Rattus norvegicus: one gene and its partner. The protein of the gene in region 1 interacts with the protein of each later gene in a pairwise test. Links are inferred from orthologs where the notes say so. Each region holds a gene or a part of one and is shown in the gene's direction. Other genes may lie near its edges.

Region 1 (8,359 bases):
ACCTTCAGTTCAGCACTCTGGAAGCAGACACATGTAAACCTCCATGAGTTTGAGGACAGCTTGGGTTCCAGACCAGTCAGAACTACATAAGACTCTGTCTCAAGAAAGAAAAGAAAGACAGAGATAGAGGGCAGAAAACATGATCAGTACCAGGAAGATGTAAAAATTACAAAAATAAAATGTTTCTCTTTGCTTCTCTGTAGGGCTCAGCACCACCCCCTTCTCCTACACCAAACAAAGAGATGAAGAACAAAGCGATTCTTTGCAAACCTTTAACAATGACAAAAGCAACTTACTGTAAGCCTCACATGCAGACCAAGTCTTGTCAGACAGGTAACGGGGACGTTTGGGTTACACCTCCTCCTACTTAGACCTTACTGCTTTAAAGTGAGTGCTTTTTTTTTTTTCCACTTTTTTTTTTCTTTTTTTTCGGAGCTGGGGACGGAACCCAGGGCCTTGCGCTTGCTAGGCAAGTGCTCTACCACTGAGCTAAATCCCCAACCCCAGTGAGTGCTTTTCTAGAGTGAAACGCTACAGGATCGGCGTGATAGGGCATCATGTCCTTTTCATCTGTGTGACTCTTTTTTTATATTTCCTTGAGAATAAAGCATATTAATCAAATTACTTGTGATCTGTTAGTCAGTGATTAAAGGTCTAGAGTATAACTTGTTAAAAACCACATAATCCTATAAAACTTTTCCTGCACTGATAGCTACAGTTGCGTGTTTCCTGTTGAGAAAATGGTTTCTTTGTGGTCTATAACAATGATAGTTTTGTTTCCTCCTGTTCAGAAAGATATTAAATAATTTAGGTACTTATTTCACATTTGTAACATTAACTATTTCTGTTCTTCATTTCCTTCTGACTTTTTCTTTTGGGATTCTGCCTTGCGGTATAGCTCAGGTTTCCCTTGAATTTAATGCTGTTGAGTACTGGGGTTACAGGAATGGACTGTTGTGCAGCTCCATGTTTGCTGCATTTAATATTTAAGTAAGTAGCCTGAGGGAATTGTCAGGACAGTGTGCTGGATATAGATGTGTACTTTTAAAGGATATATTTTCATTTTTTAAATAAGTGTTAAGTAGTATTCTAAGTTAGAATAGGTGTTGTAGAAAGCTTTTGAAGTTTATCAAATCTTATAGAAACTAGAAAATTCTTTTAAATTAGGACAAAGTTATTTTCTTTTGTTCTTAAGTTGCCAGTTAATATTGTTAATATTAATGTTAATATTGTTTGATGAAATCAGTTAACCAAAGAAACAAAAAGTCATGGTTGGTGGCTGTATGCTTTTAATTGCTCACCTAGGAAGGCAGAAGCAGGGCCATCTATTAAGTTAAGGCCAGCTTGGTCACAAACAAGTTTAAAAACCAAGAGAGTTATTATGGTGGCTCATACCTATATTCTCAGGATGTTGAGACTGAGGCAGGAGGATTGCCAGGTTAAGGCTAGCCTTTATGACATGTTTAATGATTTCTTAAAACCACCCATTGTTCTTTTCCCCATGTCTTGTTTTTCAGATGAAAATTGGAAGACAGAGTATGTCCCAGTGCCTATTCCTGTGCCTGTGTATGTCCCTGTGCCTATGCACATGTACAGCCAGAGTATTCCTGTTCCTACCACAGTCCCTGTCCCTGTACGTAGACCCTGCCCTCAGGCTAAGCTTTGCAGGCCTTTGGGAGACTAGTTTGTAGTCACTAGCTCAGTGATGCTGGCAGAGCTGTACTAGTCACGGTGACTGTGTCAAGGTTGACTTAATGGAAGGAGAATTTTTATTTTGGTTCATGGTTTAGAACTTCCTAAGAGGTTCTACCTTCTAATGGTTCCACAGCCTTTTAAAACAGCACCAGCAGCTGTTGACATTTATACCCAGTAGAAGCCATCTGTCCTTTTCTTCCATGGTTAGATTTTGTCAGCTTCTTGCTATCATTTGATTCTTTTAATATTTGTTTGCCTGGTCATCTCAGGAGTGTTAAGTTGAGCAGATGGCTGTATCTGCTGTGTCAATACTGTATTTTATATTTGAGTTTATTTTCAGAGGGAAGTTTTTTGAAGCTGTAAAGTTTAGAACCGAAACATAGACTATAGGTTCTTGAAATATTCACTTAATCACAAATCACATGTAATATTTAAAATACTATGTTTGAGCTTGACTTCTTTTCTCTTAATTTTATTTTTAAAGTATTTGTATTCTGGGATTTTCTTGTCATGGTAGGCTTCTTAGTTTTGATATTTAGTCTTGCTAAAGACTTTCTTCAATAATGTATTTATATAGTAGTAGGTCATGCATCTAATTTCAGAAACTAGCTTGTATTGTTTAGTTTGCCTAATATTAACAATGCTTTGGTTAGGTGCCCGTTCCTGTGTTTTTGCCTGCTCCATTGGAGAACAGTGAGAAGATTCCTGCCTCAGTTGAGGACCTCAAAAGCAAAGTGTCTTCAGATCCTCTTGATACAGAATTGCTTACAATGACGGATATGATGACTGAAGAGGAGGGGAAAACAGAGGCATCTAATATCAACAGTAAGCTACACTATTCAGTTTGTCAGCAAGAGGTTTGGGGGACGGGGTCTATGTATTGTCATCTTTACAATACTTAAAGGCATATCCTGTAGCAGGAAAAAGGATTATAGCAGAAATATTTTATATTAAGAAATAACACACTTTGCCTCAGTGGTTAAGAGTACTAGTTACTCTTGCAGAAGACCTGGATCTGGTTCCCAGCACCCACATATCTTTCTTTAATTCCAGTTCCAGAGATTCCCCTGCCCTCTTCTGGCCTTCACAGGCATAAGACATGCAAGTGGTGCACAGATATACATACATGTACAATACCTGTACACATAAAACAACACAATTTTTTAATAAAGAGGAATACACACTCCAACTTGAACCAGGTTTGCTCTAATGCTAAGCTTGATCTCTAGTGGAATATTTTGTTTTATTTTGAGATGGAGACTTAGAATGTGTCCGAGGCAATAAACTCTTGGCCTCAAGAAGTCTTCAGTGTCATCTTCTGAAGTAGATAAGATTACCTTTTCTTAGAAACAAAAGTTGGGTGGGTTTGTTTGTTTGTTTGTTTTGGTAAGATTTCTTTATGTGTTTGAGAGTTGCATGTGTGTATGCCTGGCACTTGTGGAGTTCAGAAGATAGAGCATTATATCCTTTGAAAATGGAGTTATAGATTATGAGCCACCATGTAAGGGCTGGGAACTGAACTTTGGTCCTTTGCAAGAGCAGCCATTGCTTCTAATTCACTCACTCCCTATTTTTTTATTTTGTTTTGTTTTAATAGTAATAGGATTTGAATTCAGTTCAGTTATTTTTCTTAGGTTTCTAAGATTTTATTTTGTGATCGTTATTTCTAGTAATATTTTATTTTTTATACTAATCAAATATAATTTGCTTTATTATATTTATATTATATTTATCTAAACCAGAATTTTTCCTACTTTCTTTTAGGACACTGCTACATAGTGGTGTGATTTAATATGAGTGTTTTGTTGGGCAACTCTGTCCTTTTGAACATTTATTCCTTCCTATCCGTAGTCTTCTGGTAATATTTAGAATCCATTTTTAGTCCTGAACTGTCTAATTGCTTTTATACCAGAAGAAAAGTGTAGAAGTTGTTTTGCAGTATTCTCAGAGGTTGTCAAATGAAGTGGATTGTACTTAGTGGTATGATTTTTGTTGTTGTTTGTTTGTTTGTTTGTTTTTTGAGACAGGGTTTCTTTGTCTAATCTTGGCTGTCCTGGAATTAGTGCTGTAGACTAGGCTGGCCTGGATCTCATAGAGATCCCTTTGTCTCTACTTCCCAAGTGCTGGGGTTAGAGGCATGTGCCACCACCACCTAGTGTGGTGTTCATTTTTAATTAAGAATAAAATACAGACACCCACTTAGTCCCTGCGCTCAGGTGTTGGAACGTGAGTTCTAGGTGTGTCCAGTATATGACACTACATACCTCATGGGAAAAAGAATGGGAAGCCATGTCTGAATCCTTCAGAGAAGAGTTAGGTGGGTTTGTGAACGCCTTTGTTTCCTAATTATATACGTTTGTCTTAATTTCTGTCTGGAGACCTATTGTCATTCTAGTATATATTAGATAGAATGCATTTATAACTACGGCAAAACAGTTAAACAGTTCATCGAAACATATGGTAGCTATTAACAAGCATATACTAAGTATGTGTAAACTTGGTCAAAATTCAAAAATACTGTTTGAAAACCATAGTTGTTTATTTCCATAAGTTTATTTCTGATAAAGAATTGTTTTATGAATATTGACATGGGGAAATGGCCCACTCAGTAAAGTGCCTGCCATATAAGAATGAGATGAGAACCTGAATTTGGATCCTCCGAACCTATTTAAAAGATCAGGCACAGTGGCTTGTGTCTAACCCTAGTGTGAATTGACAGATTAGGAAGGGAAGATGGATCCATCAAACAAAGAAAAACACAGGACTCTGGTCAGCCTCTGGTCTCCACATGCATTCCTGTCTGGAAGCACTTACATCACACTGGCAAGTAATGTATGTGTCCTCCCCACCCCCACCACACACACACACACACACACACACACACACACACACACACACACACACACACACACACACACGGGAGTTGTTTTATATTAACTTTTCTACTTTTTCCTTTGGGAGCTTAAGTACAGATACTATTAAGTTTTTTTTTTTTAATTTGATTTCTAATGATATTATTGCTTGGTTACAGGTGTAATTATTGAGACAGACATAATTGGCTCAGATCTTACAAAGAACTCTGACTCAGATATACAATCCAACATGCCCGATGTACCATATGAACCAGATTTGGATATTGAAATAGATTTCCCCAGAGGTACTTAAATACTACTTTATCATTATTAAATCAAGTTATATGGTTGTATTTAAGGTAATTGATCAACAGTGTTAGTAAAATTACCTCTTATCCTCATAATTGTTTCTTTTTTCCGTGTGTCCTTTGTAGTGGAGGATGCTGCATGTACTTTTCCACTTAGCTACATTCTTCCTCCTTTTCTTTTTTATTTCTCCAAATAAAACTGAATTAATTGCAGGAACTTTAGAAACTAGAGAAGAATACAATACTTGTATTTTTTCAATTCAGAGGTATTGATAGTATTAGCGTAGAGGTAGGAATCATGATAGGGTTTTGCTATATAATTCAGACTGGCCCCCAACTCAAAGCATGCCTTCTCCCAGCCTCTCATGCTGGGATTATAGGTACGTGTCAAATGTATAGCTTGGTAGCATTTTTCTTAATGTTCTTGAAAGTTAAATTCATATTTAAAGGAAAAGAAATACATTTACTTCTTTAACAGATGTATGCTCAGGGCTGGAGAGATGGCTCAGTGGTTAAGAGCACTGACTGCTCTTCCAGAGGTCCTGAGTTCAAATCCCAGCAACCACATGGTGGCTCACAACCATCTGTAATCAGATCTGATGCCCTCTTCTGGTGTGTCTGAGGACAGTGGCAGTGCACTCATACATAAAGTAAATCTTTAAAATAAAAAAAGAGAGCGACACGCTCCCTTTCGCTGCTGGTTAGTGCAGATGAAGTGTAGACGTCTTCCGTCTCATACATAAAGTAAATCTTTAAAATAAAAAAAGAGAGCGACACGCTCCCTTTCGCTGCTGGTTAGTGCAGATGAAGTGTAGACGTCTTCCGTCTCGTCCGTCCGGATAGCTTGGCATGCTCTACAGTCCCAGCCCTGGGAGACGGGGGCAGAACTTAAGTTAAGGGCAGCTACTGTCAGGTTGTGAGGTCAGTCTGATTTAATTAATAAGGGTCCGTCTCAAAAAAGACAAGTGTTTGAAAGCCTTGTGATAGTACATTCCTGCAGTCCTGTTGCTAAGGTAGGAGGGTTGTGAAGTGTAGACTCTGTAAAGTAGGTTCCAGGCCACAGACAGACAAATGTGTTCCTGTTCTCATTTTCCCCTAATTTATAAATTCCTACTGAATGAAGTGTAAAGCATTCTACGAAAAAGACAAGAGATTGAACAAGATTGGCACTTTTAGATCTTCTAACTAGTTTTATAGTTGTTTTCCTTTTTCTAGTATCATACAGTTCTGTGATGCTTCTGTACTGATTGATACTTGCTACATTTGGTTTTTAGTTTATCAAATAGTTTAGCAAAACTCAACACCATGTTAAGTATGAGTCTCCCTGTGCCTCGCCTCGCTGAGACTTACCCCATGTCTGGATGATCCTTCATGTCACGGGACTCTTTATTGGCCGTGTTTATGTAGCAGAATCTTGTACTGTTATATTTGAAGTAAGATATTTTCTAATTTGTCAGCTGCAGAGGAACTTGATATGGAAAATGAGTTTTTATTACCACCAGTTTTTGGGGAAGAATATGAGGAGCAGCCCAGACCTCGATCTAAAAAAAAGGTATAGAATTTGTTAATGTTTTATATTTTTTATTCATTTAACATCGCTGTAGCAGCATGTCAGAGAAAGATGCTTTGGGGATATCTTGGGCCTGACAATATGGGGAGATAGATATTAAATTCATCTTAATATAATGTCAAAATGGAAAATAGTTGACATAAAAAGAAAATTCAACTCAGACAATAACAAAGATTATTTTCTGAGTGAGCATGGTGGCACATAGCTATAACCACTGCATTTGTCTCAATGGAAAGGAGAAAGGAGAAGGGGTTGGTGATTTTCAGTGGATTAAATTTCTCATCAGTTTGGATGAGGTTAATTAATGAAGAGAGATGTAGTTTATTTTTAAGCATGCCAACACAGAGAGGAAGACATTTGGGGAACTAGGGATGCAGCTCAGTTGGTAGAATGTTTGCCTACTGTGTAGGAGGCCCTGGACTGGAGGCCCTGGATTTGATTCCCAGCTCTGTATAAACTGGGTGTAATTCTAGCCAGAGAGGCTATAGGATCAGCAGTTCATAGCCCGCTTGAAATAAATGTTACACTGTTACACACACACACACACACACACACACACACACACACACACATGGACGCGCGCACGCGAGGGAGGGAAGGAGGAAGGACCAAGTGCAAAAGAAGAAGAAAGAAAAACTAGGTATGTATTAGACAGTGATCATTTAGACATACAGAATTAAATTTGTTTAATATTCTATCAAATAAACTTTCTGTTTCTGACTTCCAACATAAGACAAGATGAAAAGACACTAAGAAAAGGACTTTCATAAATTTGTCTCAGGGAAGAAAACTTAAAGTAAAGGACTATGTACAGTGAGATGAGGTGAACTCTGAGGTGTCAACACTGTATAGAGCCATGAACTCACATGGGTCCTAGTCCTAAATGTTCGAGCACAGGGAGTTGGAGACCATCTGGCTACATACTGGGGCCCTTTCCAAAAGGACGAGCACCCGTACCACCGGGTACTCAAAGAAGGGACTGAGGTGACCGAGGCACTGTGATCGCCTAGCATGTGAATGGTGCTGGACTTGACCCTCAGCACCAAAAAGAAACAAGTAAAGAGGAGATTTCTGTGTTCTTTTTTGTTATTGCTTTGTTATTTTTAAGACACGGTTTCTCTTTGTAGTCCTGTCTGTCCTGGAGCTCATTCTGTAGACCAGGCTGGTCTGTTAAAGCCAGAGATCCACCTACCTCTGCTTCCCGTGTGCTAGGATTAGGGGCATGTGCCGCCACTGCTGCCTCAGAGTAAATTTCTTATATGTTGAAGCTATTAAAAAGTTCTTCAGTCTCAAGCTGACGTTTAGAATCGTTTTTATTTTATATTTTTTCTTTATTATATGAAAATGATTTGTTTACAAACATTTATGGTATATTGGATTTCAAGAAGCAGTATCGAGAACTATTACCGCTGTATACTACTGTAATGATAATTAGCTCTCAGAGTACCAACCAGCAGTTTTTTTAGGTTGCCTTTGTTTAGGATTACATGAAATAATGGAGTCTTAGAGAAAGGATTTACAGTGTTATTTTATTACCAGGGAACCAAGAGGAAAGCTGTATCAGGATATCAATCTCACGACGACAGTTCTGACAATTCAGAGTGCAGCTTTCCTTTCAAGTATACGTATGGTGTAAATGCATGGAAACACTGGGTCAAAACGAGGCAGCTTGATGAAGATCTTCTGGAATTAGATGAGCTAAAGTCCTGTAAGTGTTTTGGTTTTGTCATCTCAAGTTCTGCTTAAAAAAGTCTGTTTCCATATTTAATTGCCTTTGATATTTTTCTTTTAATTTCTTATTTTTTTCACATATTACTTAATGTATATGAGTGTTTTGACTACATGCCTGGTGCCTACCAAGGCCAGAAGAGGATGTTGGATTTCCTGGAATTGAAGTTACAGAAAGTTGTGAGCTGCCATGTGGGTGCTGAGAC
Region 2 (8,359 bases), on another chromosome or scaffold:
AAATTTGTTGTCATTTTAAGATTTAAAAGTTCTTCGGTTTCCCACGGAAAGAGAAGCAATAGCAAGGGGAAGAAAATAGCCCGTGATTCCTTTGTTCCAAACCCAGTTCCATTCCCAGAGCAAACAGCACAATGTCTATACTTAACTCTATGAAGAATTGGCTGAGATTGATCTGGAGGTGGGGGTGGGAGAGGGGGAAGGGGAGGGGGAGGTAACTGAACACAGAGCAACAAAAGGAACCGCGCCTGTGCTAGGACTCTGCTAAGTCGCCGATGACTTCTTACAGAGATTTGGCTGTGCTGCTGTTAGGAGTGTGCGGTGGAAATTCCACTTCATATGAGGAATGGGGGAGCGCCTTTGCTTGGGGGGGGGGTTCCTGCAGTTGTGAGAACTACTCCCCAGGCCTGGAGAAACCACATTCTTTGAGATTTGGTGGGCAAGTAACTACAGCACAGGCAGAGGAGACTACTTTATGAAAAAATTCACAGCACACTGTTGGAGTGAAATGCAGCTCGAGATTTTTACCCCTTTGTACATCCCCTTAGACTCCAACTCTGGCAATTAGGACTGTTTTGAAATAGCTTTTAGCTCCTATCAAAACAGAGTGCTCCCTCTACCCTTTCAAAAAAAAAAGCCCGTGAACTTCAAGGGCTGGGTGATCAGGTGTGGGCTGCAGGAGCCTTGGAGCAGTGATGGCAGACTGTCACAAAGAGGAACTCTCACACTCGGCACACAAAAGCCGTTTTATAGACCGGTTTTGTTAAGTCCCCTTCCTCACCTCAGGTTTGTTGTCCCTGTCCCTGCCAGAAATGCCACCCTCTGAGTCTGTAGAATAAGCCGCTCTCCCATCAGTGCACAGAGTCCCCTCAAAAGGCCTCTCCTCTGCCACCCACTGCCCTGCCCTCTGTCCATGGGGGCTGAACTTGGTGATTCATGCCAACAGAGGCAGCTTCCAGTCTCTGAGCATTGCAGGTGGGGCAGGACCTGAGCCGCTCGGGCCCACTCAGCCAACAGCAGAGAAACCAGTTCGGCGAGCCCACAGTCCCTTCTGTGCAGCCCTGGCCTCTGGTGTTTTGGTTTCAGGTTTTTCTTTTGTTCTCAGAATCTGTTTTCATGAGAAGCAAGAGCACAAACAAAAAAACAAAACAAAACAAAAAGTTCTTGTGGGAATACTCCCTGGCAAGTCAGTTTCTGTCTGGGGTTTACACCAGCGGTTTGTTTGTTTATTATTTTTTAAATCCGAGTGACTCACCATCCTTGCAAGGGAGGGAAATGTGCTGTAGAAAAACTGAAGGCTGATTTTTATTTTTAGGAAGGACAAAGTGCGATATTGGGATGCTGACGGGATAGTTTCAGTGGTAGAAGGTCCCAAGAAAAGTCCTTCAGTAACCAAACCATGGTAAAAAAAAAAAAAAGGCTTGATAGCACAGTCATTGGTATTTTTACTTAAAAACCAAAAGCCTGCAGCAACTTTAAGTGACATCAGAATTTAGCTCCTGGCCAGCGTTTGAAAGAGATTATCTTTGCTGAAATCATCCCTTCAGTGGCAACTTGCCATAGAGAAAAATATCTGCGTTACTAGCTTTTCTAAACATAGCAACCTTTTCTTCAATAGAAAGTGATCACAATGAGAAAATCGGGCTTTCCGTCAGGGGAAGAAACCCTCCCGGCCCCTATCCCTTCCGGCCCCATGCCCCAGAAAACAAAATCTCTTTTAAAACCTTACTCAGAAACACAAACCATCAAGGCTTTCCTTTCTTATTGGTGATTGGATAAAGATTTAATAATTTACCATTAAGATACATATTTCAAGGTAATTGGGGGGGGGGGGCAAACCGGTCCCAGTGATTTGCTCTTTTATCTGTACCTGTGTGGGCACACAGACATGTATATGGGGGGGGGTCAGTGTCCCATGTACTCTTCAGTCATTCCCCCACCTTATTTTTTGAGATACAATCTCTCACTGAGCCTGGAGTGCCGATTCGGCTAGGCTGTTTCTTACCAAAAAGTCCCCAAGAGTCCTCCTGTCCCTGCCTTCTGAGGGCTGACCTTATAGGTGTTGACCATCACAGCGCCTTGCTGAGGACTTGCGCTCCAGTCCTCCTCCTCAGGCGAGCTCTTTCCTGACTGAGTCATCCCCTCAGCACCCTAGTTTGTTCTTTAAGCTTGTGGTAAGACTGGCGATTTTTGTTTTCAACATTCTTGGTAGGGTCCTTCATGGTAAGAACAGGCTTTATGTGAGCTCAGTGTCTTTCGAATCCTTGGGTAGCCTCCCTACCCAACCTTTTCTCCCCGGGACACACGCGCACATATGACTGCCAGACAGAAGTTTAAAAGTTGAGGAACTTGCACAGCAGCCGCCAGGGTTGTGTCTCATTAGCGGGTTGGTCCAGCCTTCTGATGGTCTTGCGTAGCAAAGCTCCCTCTGTTTGGAGTTCCCAGCATCTTCTTCTTCCCTTGCAGGCTACAGTCATGTTTAATTTAGAATCCGGGCTCCTTTGGCAAATTAGCAATTAGAACAATTTTGTGGGAATATGTATATGTGTCATTAGTTTTTCTGCAAATTAATAGCAAGGGCAGAGGTCAGGCAGAAATTTTCCACTTGACTGAAGCTCTTCCATTGAGACTTGGCACTTGGGTTTGGAATGGCCGCAGCTGTTCCCAGACACCCCTTTCCTCTAGGAACTGTCTTTTAATTAGTTTACCTCATAGCCATCATTACAAATATTACTGTCTCCCTCCCCGAAATAAAATTACTGTTTCTACAAAATATTCCAGCGACATTGTGCACCACTGCACATCCATGGTGGGGTCAGTCGAATGTACCATTTAATCATTAGATCACCTCCGTCCGCATCTCCTAATTAGAGTCCTTACAATACATTTTTATCTGGTAATTAGCTGAGATTGGCCGCTTCCTCTGTGGCTTATTAGAGACAGCCCAGCAGTGGGTGTGAATCACGGTGTCATTTGTCAAGCCTAGTAAACCCTCTCTTCAGGCTCAATGTTTATTTCCAGTTCCTACCTACATTCAAAAGCATCCAGAAAATTCAGCCTGCATTGCTGTCTTCCCGTCTTGTGCCAACCTTGAAGGATCTGTTTTTTTCATTGTTGCTGTCTGGGGCAGAACAGATCCAAGCATTATTAAACCCCATAGAAAAGCTGCAGGAGTCCAATTCTTTGCACATCTAGTGGCATGTCTCTGTGTGTGGGTTCACCAGTTTCTTCTCAGATCTGAGTATTCAAAATGACAGCTTGTACCTGCTGAATGGTCACATAGGACTTGCCGAACTTCTTTCAGAACTGGTAGGGGGCATTGAGATAATGTTCTTAGGCTAGAAGGAGAAATCGGGATCTAGGGTGAGACCTCAGAGAAACTGCCTGGGTTTTACATCTGCTTTTGACAGTAAGCACTTCAAGGACAGCAGTTCTGTGGTTTAGTTCTGCTTCCAAGCCTGTGGAAGTTCTTGGTAATATTTATTGAGTGTCATTCATGAGCAAGGATAAAAGCTGTTCACCGGAGCTTTTCCAGAAGCAAGCGTAACTGAGAGGTGGAGATGTTTATAGCATTCATTTAGACATTAACTGGGCATAAGTAGAGGGGGCAGAGGCTGTAGGACCATACAAGAACGTGGATTGACTTTGGGTCTGAGTCAAGAATACGGACAAGCTTCCTTTTCAGTCTTTGTAAAACACGAGTAGTTTGTAGGACTGTGTGAATGAAACGACGCCTCTCAGAGCAGGTGTTTGAGAGGATGTATTTTTATGAAAGATATCTGTGGCTTTCCAAAGTCTCCTCATGCTCAGGTTTATAGCATCTGAAGGATCAAACCTATATATTTAGGATCTTTCTACACTAATTTCCTGACGCCCTCCAACTTCAGCAGATTGCCAGCCTTGGGCACTTGTTAAGGCCTGAGGGGAAGAAGGGGTCAGCCTTTGCTCTTCCCTGATGGCATCTTGCCCTGCCCTGTCCCTGGTCTTTACTCCGAACTGTTAGCACTTGGTTTGCAAATGTGTGTCACGGTCGGCTTTCTGGCTCCATTGGGAGGACAGCTTACCACATTGCCCCTGCTTGCTGAAGGTCAGCGAGAGTGTGCCCCAGCTTGCTGTTCTCGACACTGGGGGCGCATGCTGTGCTGAGTCAGTATCTCAGACTGAACACAGAAAAGCCCACCATTTGGCTCTGAGTACCAAATCTGGGTTTTTCTGGTAATGTTCCTTTCATGGCATCAGGTCCTTCCTCTCTCTTCCTTTGGAACTTACTGCACAGGGTAGTCTTGTGCATTCCTACTGTGCGAGTCTAAGTGGCGTCTTCCCAGTACACCATCCACAAAGAACACTTGTGCTTAATCTGATGGTGGCAAGAGACATCATGGCAGCTGACTGGAAATGCAGCATGATAAAATGTCGGCCGAGTGACAGCGTACTTTATAGATGTTTCTGGGGCTTGGGAGGGGCTCTCTGAAGTACTTGATATCTCCATAAACATGAGGAAAACCACTAGGTTCTTGTCCAACTCAAGGGGCTTTTCTGGTCCCAGTCAGTTTTAGAGAAGACTCATCCCTTCAGGTAGTGTGAGAATGGTAAGGAAGAGTGCAATAGCACAGAAGGAAGGGGAGGCATTCCTTAATACTGCCCCACGGTGCTTCAGAAGCCATCCGCTTCCATAGTTGGACTGTTTAAAACTTTTAAGCAACCAAATATTGCAACTTTATAGAAACAGACGGCTGCCTCCACGGTAAGAGCCACTGCTGAGCAGAAGTCACAAGTCCATCACCCACAGCCCCGTGGCGTGTTCAATCACGCGGTGGACTTGAGTCCCAGAATTTCTTGCTGGTCTCAGTAGTAGTGTCTCAGAACCCTGTGTGGCCTCTTAGTAAATCCATTGCAATCTTAAGGTTAAAAAAAAAAAAATCACCCACCGCAGCCTTGCAGTCGTGGCAGTACGTGGCTGAGACCAGAAACCACTGCACGCCACTGCAGAAACCAGCTTCCGGCCACTGTAGCTCAGCTGGTGTTCCTTTGGTCCCCAGCCTTGCTGCTGTGCAAGGGAGAATCCCTCTAACTGAAAGTGCGTCCCGTGTAAACATACCGATTTGGAGAGGTAACCCTCACCAGGTGCGCCCCAGTCTTTCCTCTGGGACAAGAGAGGTTTTCACGGCTGCTCGAGTTTCTGTAGCTATTTGGTTTTTTTTTTTTTTTTCTTTTTCTTTTTGCTTTTCTCAAGACCTTCTAACCAATATCCTTCTTCTCACAGCTGAATCTGGTATCAAGTGTCACCCTCTCCAAGTCCGCCTCAGAGGCTTCTCCACAGAGCTTACCTCATACTCCAACAACCCCAACCGCCCCCCTGACTCCCGTCACCCAAGGCCCCTCTGTCATCACCACCACCAGCATGCACACGGTGGGACCTATCCGCAGGCGGTACTCAGACAAATACAACGTGCCCATTTCTTCAGGTAGCTACTCTCTGTCTTTGCCCGGGGCAGCATGGGGAATCTGCAGTTCCTGTCGATGAGCCCCTTTTTAAAAAGTGATCATTAATAGGACAATGATTCTTATTTAGCAGATATTGCGCAGAACCAAGAATTTTATAAGAACGCGGAAGTTAGACCACCATTTACATATGCATCTTTAATTAGGCAGGTAAGTAAATAACAGGGACCGTGAAATGCTATCAAAAGGTGTATGTGGGTATATTATATTGATGAAGTAGATTTAAAACCACTTAGTATGCAAGCATGCTCAAACCTTTTCTATAAGGATTTTAAAAACTGCAATATATAACATAATTGCTTTTGATTAAGTATTACAATACGATGTGATTATTAGGGAATTCATTTCACACAACAGTGAGAATGAGGCTGTTTAAAGATGGCAAGTCAATTATCACAAAGCTACAGTAATCTCTGATCCCTAGAATTAATCTGAGCTCTAAATAATTACTGAGCTTTAATCAGCTAGTGAAATGTTTTGCATTTCTCTTTGATTCTGCTTTATGAATGACTAATAAATTAATATTTCTGTACGGAAACAGAAATAAAAACTCCAAACAATTAGATAATTCCATTTCAAGTTTTGCTATTGAACCATTTAAAGACAATTGTTAATCTTCGATCATTTTGTGAAACCTGTCTGAGGAGTTTGCTCTAAATTACAGTTCTGGGATTTTTGGGTTTGGTTTGGTTTTGGTTTTGGTTTTCCACAGTTTCATGAGCACCGTCGAATGTTCCTAGTTACTGGATTATAAATTACTTTCTTCGGATTCTTGCCTCACAGGCCATTCTTGAATCTCCAGAAAAGCAGCTAACACTAAACGAAATCTATAACTGGTTCACACGAATGTTTGCTTACTTCCGACGCAATGCAGCCACGTGGAAGGTAAGCTTTGCAGTCTTGAATTTTGACCTTTATAGATGAGAGAATCTTGTGGAGAAAAATCCAGTTACTGGGCAACAAGAATATTCCCCTTGCACTGGGAATGTGACTAGGAGAAGCATTTCATTGCGACTGAAGTGTTCAGATGGAGGAGCCCCAGCCCCTGCAAGAAAGGTGTGGCTGGATTTGCCGGAGAATTCTGCATAGGGAAGGGAGTTGACATTGCCACCCTTAACTCTGAGGTTGGCCCTATCACTTCCATAAACCATGGGTAACCGACAGTCATTTTCAGGGGCGTAACTAGGAGCCAAGCTGAGTAAGATCCTTCAGTGGTTAGATCAAAGCTCATCCGCCCCACAAGTAGAGGAAGCTGTGTAATCCATGTACTCACACAGCAGAAAGGGTGATTTCTGCCGGATGCAAGGTATCAATTATAAGAGTGGGTTCATGGTTACCCCAAGAAAGAAGGGTAGTTTCAGAACTATGTAATGTGCTGCTATCTGCCATAGACCAGGTCAGCTGCCAGACCTCCCCACTAGATAACCCTGTAGACACTTGGAGTCCCTTCTAAGTTTCATTAGCATTGATTCTGTGTTCCGTTAAGCCTCCTTGCCTAGGCATGGTGGTGCGTGCCAGGCATCCCAGCATTTGAGAAGTAGGGAGATTTTGGGTACAAAGCCAGGCAGGGCTACATAGATAGCCTTTGACACCTTCGCTCAGCTTCCTGGTTTGAATTTATCACATAGTGCCGAGTAGATCTGTTCAGTGCTGCCTGGCATTAAAGATGTGTCCTTATCCATAGTCTCAATGCAACAGGTACTCTTCTATGGGACTCTACCTCCTTGACTTAATAGGAAGAAATATGTTTTGTTTTTCCTCCTAAGATTCTATAAGAAAATTAGTATAGGCACAGAATTAATTCATTAGCCACATGGGGGCTGACAGGAAATTATACTGCAGGTCTTAGCTTCATTTCAGTCTCCTGCCTCAGGAGATAAAATACAATGACTCTTTAGCTACAAAACTTTTAAAAATTTAGGAAGGAGAAGCGTAAAGAAGACATTTTCCTCCAAATTGCTCTTTATAAATACCAAATGACCACATTTCAAAATAACTACCAGTTGTGGATGTGAATTTCAAACTCAAACCTCACTTTTCCAGCTTTGCAAAGTAAAGGCAGAAGTGTCACTAATACAGACAGCCCCACACGAAGTACTCAGCAGACAGTTTTTCTGTGTGTCCTTACCGGGACAATGATCCGAAAGACAAAAGTGGGATGGTGTCACTTGCTGATCCTTTTTTTCTTTTTAAAACCTCTGGATTTTTAGTTGCTTTCTTTTTTAATATGCAGAGCCCTCTAAATCACCTTTGCTCAGGATTAGCCCCTGGAGTCTTTGGATTTTTTTTTGTGCATTTTGATACTTCGGTGATTGACACCGCTTTTCTCCCCAGGTGTCTCCCTCACGGGTGCACATGTGCTCTCTTGATTTTGCAAGGGAAGTGCAAAATCTTTTCTTCTGTCTCCTCCATGATATTGGAAGGGATAGTTCCCCAAGCAATCTAAAGAAGAATTTGTTTCCTTAAAAGCTAGGTCCGGTTTACCTGTGTAGAGCTTTGTTTTTAAGCATAGCCTTTGCCAGTCATGACAGTATCAGGAGCCTACTTCCAGCTGTCCTCAGAGTCCCCTAGGAGCTCATTCTGTGGAGTCCACTGGTGAGCAGATTGTTATAGAAGTAATAAAGATGTGTCCCCTTATCCTCTAAGTAGTGTATCACAGAGAAGAATAACTTTTAGGTAACCTGATTAGTCACCAATCATTGTTTCCCAGAAATCTGAGAGACCTCTGAGAGTTTCAAGATTTGTCACCAAGAAAGCAAATTACTGTAGGAGAAGAATGTAGCTTGTCTGAACAATACAATGCTAGGTTCAAGTGAGGGCTTACATAAGGTGCCAAAATCTCAATACATGTGTCAGCTGC

What was found.
Region 2: the proteins of Zmym2 (region 1) and Foxp1 come close enough for resonance energy transfer, tested with the Homo sapiens proteins (2 studies listed by BioGRID). The link is inferred for Rattus norvegicus from reciprocal best matches to the Homo sapiens genes ZMYM2 and FOXP1.

The regions. Positions count from the first base shown.
Region 1 is NC_086033.1:35,204,018-35,212,376, forward strand, and holds part of Zmym2 (zinc finger MYM-type protein 2), read left to right. Parts: intron 1-203; coding exon 204-333; intron 334-1,517; coding exon 1,518-1,633; intron 1,634-2,348; coding exon 2,349-2,520; intron 2,521-4,726; coding exon 4,727-4,852; intron 4,853-6,312; coding exon 6,313-6,407; intron 6,408-7,964; coding exon 7,965-8,133; intron 8,134-8,359. UniProt on the Homo sapiens protein: Involved in the negative regulation of transcription.
Region 2 is NC_086022.1:133,135,038-133,143,396, reverse strand, and holds part of Foxp1 (forkhead box protein P1), read left to right. Parts: intron 1-5,260; coding exon 5,261-5,462; intron 5,463-5,569; coding exon 5,570-5,649; intron 5,650-6,282; coding exon 6,283-6,384; intron 6,385-8,359. UniProt on the Homo sapiens protein: Transcriptional repressor. Can act with CTBP1 to synergistically repress transcription but CTPBP1 is not essential. Plays an important role in the specification and differentiation of lung epithelium.